Linked DNA regions of Daphnia pulex. The protein of the gene in region 1 interacts with the protein of each later gene in a biochemical or structural test. Links are inferred from orthologs where the notes say so. Each region holds a gene or a part of one and is shown in the gene's direction. Other genes may lie near its edges. The genes, in order: DNA topoisomerase 2-binding protein 1-A-like and cell cycle checkpoint control protein RAD9A-like.

Evidence for each region.
Region 2: the proteins of DNA topoisomerase 2-binding protein 1-A-like (region 1) and cell cycle checkpoint control protein RAD9A-like form a complex in vitro, tested with the Homo sapiens proteins (4 studies listed by BioGRID). The link is inferred for Daphnia pulex from reciprocal best matches to the Homo sapiens genes TOPBP1 and RAD9A.

Annotation. Positions count from the first base shown.
Region 1 is NC_060022.1:4,608,983-4,611,792, reverse strand, and holds the end of DNA topoisomerase 2-binding protein 1-A-like, read left to right. Parts: coding exon 1-30; intron 31-92; coding exon 93-260; intron 261-322; coding exon 323-1,776; intron 1,777-1,845; coding exon 1,846-2,059; 3' UTR 2,060-2,173; downstream 2,174-2,810. UniProt on the Homo sapiens protein: Scaffold protein that acts as a key protein-protein adapter in DNA replication and DNA repair. Composed of multiple BRCT domains, which specifically recognize and bind phosphorylated proteins, bringing proteins together into functional combinations.
Region 2 is NC_060026.1:14,698,890-14,703,081, forward strand, and holds cell cycle checkpoint control protein RAD9A-like, read left to right. Parts: upstream 1-1,653; 5' UTR 1,654-1,861; coding exon 1,862-1,895; intron 1,896-1,965; coding exon 1,966-2,189; intron 2,190-2,248; coding exon 2,249-2,413; intron 2,414-2,472; coding exon 2,473-2,576; intron 2,577-2,636; coding exon 2,637-2,861; intron 2,862-2,930; coding exon 2,931-3,124; intron 3,125-3,180; coding exon 3,181-3,500; 3' UTR 3,501-3,672; downstream 3,673-4,192. Other genes in the region: lipopolysaccharide-induced tumor necrosis factor-alpha factor homolog, read right to left, coding at 628-736, 803-897, 959-1,026, 1,109-1,202; squamous cell carcinoma antigen recognized by T-cells 3-like, read right to left, coding at 3,712-4,040, 4,108-4,192. UniProt on the Homo sapiens protein: Component of the 9-1-1 cell-cycle checkpoint response complex that plays a major role in DNA repair. The 9-1-1 complex is recruited to DNA lesion upon damage by the RAD17-replication factor C (RFC) clamp loader complex.

The DNA of each region.
Region 1 (2,810 bases):
CACTTTGATATGTCTTCGCCGCATACTCCAGTATGATTTGTTATTGTTTAAATTATTTTATGATTATTTTTTCTAATAGTTCTCCTTAACAGGTGACCTCAGCGACTCCTACCATGCCACCACGACCGGCTGTCTCTGACACTCCTACGTGTTTACAACAGAATCCGTTTAGTGCAAATAATATTGGTAGAACACCTCAAGCTCGACCATCTCTTTTTAACATGCCTACACCCGATACACCATATGGAAGGCTTTTAAACGTAATGTTTTAGTTTGTAATTTTTAATCGTCAGAAAGGAATCAGCATTTTTCTTCTTTGTAGACGGACCCGTCACCCGAAACTCGAAAATTGTGGAAACATGCATTGGAAAATCGAGTTCGTTTGACGCCTCGCGCGGACGAATCCCTTAACGTTACCCCACAAGATATTCAGAAAGGAGAAATTGTGGTTTCCCCCGAAGACTCGGATTATTTCTTGAATTTACGGAAAAAATTGCGTCTTGATGAAAGTGGAGTTGAAGCACAAGCCATGTGGAAACCGGATGAGGAAAATTCAGCGGCAGCATCACCCTTAGAACCACCAAAGCCACCTTTTCATGGAGTGGTGGCATTCATACACAAGAAAGTTGAAGACCAAAGAACCGAGTTGGTAAAAGCAGTTGAAAATCTGGGTGGCAAGGTTCGTTTCCAACACTGCGAGGAGGTAACTCATTTCATATATCAGGGCAAGCTAGCTGCATCCAAAGAGATTCGAAGCGCAAAAGATTGGCACCAGAAATTTGTCTCACCACAATGGATCCTAGACTGTGAAGATACTTCGAATCGTCTAGAAGAATCGCATTATCCACCATCTTTGAATCCGAAAATGGCTTTGTCACTGAATTTCAATTCGCAACCTGCACCGCCGTCTAGTTGTACCCAGAAGCGACGCCTTCCTGCCAGTTCCAGCGAAACGGGTACTCCTAGAATTCCTTCCCGTAAGCGCTTATCATCTGATAGTGAGCCACGTGAAAACGACCTTCTTGAAACTAATGAAGAACAAGAGAATCTTGTCGTCCCAGACGTAGAGGAAGAAGCATGCAAAGAACTTTTGCAACTAGACCAAGTGCTATCACGTTCAGCTGAGCAGATTCCTCTGCAAAAGGTTACAAACGTTTCGGGGGCTAGAAACGGTAGAGGACCTGAACACGTCTTCGTTCCCGCAACGCAACCTCTGGAAACGGTAGATTCGCAATCTGCTCCAATTGTGTGGGATCTTCACGAGACACAAAAGCCAACCGGTTCACAGCTAAACAATACTCAGACGTATCGTGTCATGTTCTCTGGAATGGCACTAGACGATCGTGAAAGCTGTACTGCTGTTATCGAAGAGTTGGGAGGAACCGTTCTTGAATCCAACCAATACGACCCAACGTGTACTCACCTTGTCGTCGCCAAAGTTGGATCTAATGAAAAATTGTTGACGTCGATCGCTGCTGGAAAATGGATCCTTCATCCAGAATGGCTGATTGAAAGCGAAAAAGAAAAACGTTTCCTTGAGGAAGCTAAATTTGAATGGGGCAATCCAGAAGCCACGGTGGATTACCCAGAATCCGAATCCATTACCGAGGACGAAGCTAACATTGCTGCGGCTGCATATTATTGGCGTATTAATCGCAGTCAAGGAGTATCTGGTGGCCCTTTTCACGGAATTACCGCTGTTTTATACCTTCGCGAGAAAAATGCTTCTTTCCAGCGTTTACTTGAAGCTGGTGGCGGAAAGGTGGTTGACCAAGGGTATGATAATAAGGATGTTCAGAGTTTTCTTTCATTCATTATTTTCATTTATTTATACGTTTCTTCTAGTTCGGCTTTGGAAAACAAGAAGACGAACTTGTGCATTTTGGATTCTCGCGAAGCGAAAAAGTTGCAGTTGTCATCGTTTGCCAATAGAGGCATTTATTGCGTTCCATTGATTTATCTCAGAAATCTTGTTCTGGCTACTGACAAGAAGTTAAAATGGAGCAAGTCTGTTTTACAAGAATTTCTTCCTTATCTCGAAAACATGCCTTCTTCTTAACTATCTTTCTTTTTATTTGAATAATCTAATGTGAAAAATACCTTTTTTTTTTAAGAAAATGTTTAAAGATACTTAGATAAGTCCATGAAATACAATCATTTCTAGTTTCCTGCAGAATTGTATTGATAACTAGTACATAATGATGACAAAACTACCAAAGACGCTTAGGCCCCATTGTTGCAGATGTAAGTATCCAGGTTTTGTCTTCATCTTTCTTCATTGACATTTGTTTATGCCTTGGTTTAGTTTTACAAATGATATGAACCCTTCCCTGTCTCACCACTTTGTAGCAGTCTTTGCAACGTTTCATCGGTTTCCCCACAACTTTGAATCCACAACTAGGAACTAGTGAAGGAACAGTAGGAGTTAACAGTTGATTTTGCACATTCAGAGTTTGGGGAATTCTCATTGATAATGCACTAAATGTTCTTGACACTGTCACAGGGAAAACAGCAGGTGAAAACATAAAGAGTTGTTGCAGGTTGCTGCACACGGGTCTTACAATTTTTCTCAATGCATCCATTTCAATCGTGAATCTGCTGTAAAAATATTTAAAACTGTTACATTTTTCAGTACTCTACATGAATTACATTAAAAGATAATGAGTAGTGCAAATGCAATAATTTTTTGGATTGCGCAACGTATCAAAGCAAGATTTAACTCTATTATAAACTTACGTAATTAGGATTCTTGTGAAGGTTTATCGTTAGAGAAAATTATCTTTTTATTTCATTATTTTACTGAATTGACT
Region 2 (4,192 bases), on another chromosome or scaffold:
CATGATAATTAAATACTTTGATAGAAATCCAACCATTTCCTGTCATTTGTTTCTTACTGCGCTTCTATTAATGGGTAGGTTAATCCCCAAAACCATGTTGTTTGTATCTATGAAATAGCGGGAAACATTTAATAAGCATCGTTTTGGTTCTTTTTTAACTTTTTTCCATAGGAATAACATTTTCTATATATTTAACGAGCAGCATAAAAATAATTAATAAACTACGGCACTGCAAGATTCAAATTAATTTAAAAAAATTCAGTTAAGAAAAGGAATATAGGTTTTTTGTCCCAGTCGAACAAAACGTTTTTCAATGAATTTAAAATTTAAATTACAAACGACAATTTTAATATATTCGAAGTTTATTCATTGATAAATTTTGGTGATAAAATTAACACGGCGTATCTTTGATTTTAATAAGTAAGCGGAGTAGATATTGAAGCAAGGTACGAATAATACAACGTTCAGCATTTCTATTGTTTGAAATTTTGAAATTGAAAAGCTTCGTGTAATTAGGAAAAAGGTAAATTTTGGCATACAAGATGCAACAACCAAATTTGCCAAAAATGAATATGAAATTTAACACACAGAAAGAACCAATTGCCTCTTCATAGTAAGAACATTAGCTTAAAAGTGGCTGTATCTCCCCAAGTATGCTTTGCAATTTGGACAAGCATGATGAACATTCATGCACTCAGGAATACAGCAGGGGATAAGGCAACAGCCCAACCAACATCTGGTAATAAAAATATATGTGTTATATCAATGTGTAACTCTTAAGAAATTGCTGACTGTGTAATACCCAAATAGAACTAAAAGACCTCCAGAAAGCCAGGCAATCAGACCAGGTTCAGTACGCACAGAAGTGTCAATTTCAGCATGGCAATGTGGACAGACCTGTAAAGAAAGAAGATAGAGAAAATAAAATATATAATTAACTGTGGAGGGAAAAACTAACAGTGTGTGTTGTTCCGGGTCCAACAGGTATCACGGTTGTCACAATAATAGGCTGCTGGTTGGTTACATCTATTAAAAGAGATAAACATTGTGATTTTGAATGTGAGGCACATTTCCCATTAAAAGTTAAAATACTAAAAAAATGCTTTACTTTGATGAGGAGTAAAGGGGCTTGATGGATTAACACCACCCACTGCTTCCATGTAAGAAGGAGGGGCAGCTGGAGGAGGACCTTGTTTACTCATCTGTGAAATAGTTTATGGAGAATCCAATGAATTATTGGTAAATTGGTAATCAGAATATCAGACCAACATTAACTTCAATGTTTTGTATTCTGAATCATGAAAGAGTTTAAATTTTATTTGTTATTACCTTAGAAAGTCATGCAGTACAAGTAAGTTATTCACAAACGTTTACACTCTGTGCTCTAGTTAACACTACACAGCTGTTCTTAAGCTCCGCCCCATGACTTTTCAGAATGTAATCAGCAGGAATTGGACAGCGGAAAAGCTGATGTAATTGAAAGTCTTCCAATGTTTCAGAATGTTATAATTGAAAACCATTGATAAATCAAGGGGAAAAAAAATTTCCTTGAAGTACCTCAGCAGATAAGACCGTCTTCTTTATCTATGGTTAAAAGTACAATCAAGTTTCAGTGACTTGCAGATGTGGCCGAAATAATACGAGTCACGCTCGTCACTTGTTTCATTTGTTTACATCTTCAGTGAAGATAAAATCTCAACAGCCAATCGGGGCATACTTGAAAAAATTCATTTCCGTGTCGTCTGCGTGCTAAACATTCTAAACGTGTTATCCGGGACATGGGGTTACCGATATAATTTCTGGCGGCATTTCGAATTTTTTTTTAGTGCAAACAACTAAATTTACATTGAAGTAAAGAAAAATGAAATGTCTTTTGGATGCAACCAGTGTTAAGGGTACGACATGATGTTTCATTTGATTGTACTAAAGCAGTTGAAAGCTAAAACACTTTCTTTTATTCTTTAGTTTTGGCGCGAGCCATACACTCATTGGCTAAGATAGGTGATGAATTGCACATTTCACCAATGGAAAATGGATTAACTCTGAAGACCGTCAATGCTTCCAAATCTGCCTATTCAGCTTTCAATTTTCACCTACCTTTTTTTCTTGACTACACGCACATAAGTGAAAATACTGTTCACGCTGATCCAGAAGAAGATACTGTGATTAAATGTAAACTTCCCATGAAGGTCTGACAAATAACTTTAATGTGAAGTATTGTGTGTTTACAATGATGTTTTGTTTCCAGTCCATCTTGTCTGTATTTAGGTCGATCGGAAGCTTGGAAAAATCAGTTGAAACATGTAAGATAATGCTACCACTTCTTGAGGCTCTGTTAATCATTGAGTTCAGGTGCAAACATGGAATTGTTAAGTACTTCAACTTAAGATACTTTGAATGTGAAAGTGTTGAAGTAAGTCCTTTGATTTGGTCTCGCCAGACTTTTAATGAAAATAACCTAAAAATTCATAGGCAGAATTCTCTAAGGAGGGTTACCCCAGTAAATTTTCCTGCTCTTCACGTTTTTACAATGAAACTCTTCAAAGTTTTCATTCAAGCACTCAAGAAGTTACTTGGTAATCCAACAACATAATTGTCATGTTTAAATAACCTCAAATTTCGTTTATTCTTTCAAGGTCCCTTGCAATGGATCAAGTACATTTGAGTAACCATATTGATGATGAAATAGACCCATCCAAATGTGTTCGTACGGAAGTCACGTTGGTCAAGGATGAATTCATTGAATTTAACGTCGCTCTGTGTACTCAAGTTACATTTTGCTTGAAGGAATTACGAGCTATTTTGGCCTTCGCAGAAGCCCTGAAACTCGATCTTGATTGTCGAATGGAAGGCGCCGGACAGTAAGCAATATTTCATTTTACTTGTGATTCAAAAGTTGCATCGATTATTTACGGAATTCCTTCTACCAGGCCTGTTTTGTTCAGTCTACAAAAGGATGACTTGTATTCAGCAGATTTTCTCCTTGCAACTCTAACGCCTGCTCTGGACACTACGGCATCCATTAGTTCGCGAACTGCCAAACACGAAATGTCAGTACAAGGCAATACCTCCAACCATCCGTCTCCTGTCCCTACCCTGAGGAATAAAACAGGTAACAAAACAGGCTTGAAAGGGAAGTCAGGATCTTGACATACATTGCTCTCCTCGTGAATTTTCTAGATTCCAGGACCATTTCGCGTGCCAATTTGGTCGATTCTAGGAACGGTTCTCGTGCAAGCACGACACACACTCGTTTACACACACCTTTGATACGACAAACGCCTGTTAACGAGGATCATACCCCACGTCTTAACAGTCTATCTCTTATCGAGCCCCATCCGTTTCCTGATATGGAAGTAGATTTGGAACCCGAAATTCAACCACCTCCTAATAAGAGAGCTCGGGCTCGCTACATATTTCAGAATTGTCTCAAGTTAACACAAGAATACAGAGAGCGACCAACTGAAGTCTTTGCTCCGGATTCAGAGGAAGATGAATAGCAAGAGACGAAATAACCCTTTCCCGGCTTTCCCCTCATCCAACGATTTTGTACATTTTTCTTTCGCCGAGTTAACTCAGTATTGTTTTGTGTCAGAATTTTGTAACGGTACATCACTGTATCCTATATAATGATCACAAAAGTTAAAGTGCCATTAAATGTTGATCAGTCCATTTTTTATTTATTCGTGCCATTTCAATGTCATTTTCAAATTATTTCTTTAGAAGCATGGACCGGAAATCGGCATTGCTCTTCGAAGCACTGGCGGGAACACTGACGGGTGGCGGCATGGTGGAAGACTGAGATGTCTGGCGAAGGACGGCGTTTGGAACAAACGACACTTGCGTTCTCCTTACCCGTGTTCCGCCACCCAAAGATAGTTCATCCTTGTCCAGGTTTCTGTCTTCGCGACGTGGAGGTGGATTGCTTAACGCAACCGTCAAAACTTTGTCCTGGAATGTAGTTCCGTCTGTCTGGTTCATAGCCATCGTCGCTGAAACTTCATCTTCGAATTCAACGTAAGCCAGACCTTTGGGCTTTCCTTTATATTTAATTAAATAGAAGTTAGTAAAGAAAAAATAAATTTAATTTAGATTATTAAACGCTACCGTTCCGTAACGTTACTAATCGAACGTCCTTCAGAATTCCAAATTTTTTAAACAGAGCTTCCAAGTCTTCTTTAGTAGTAGTGAA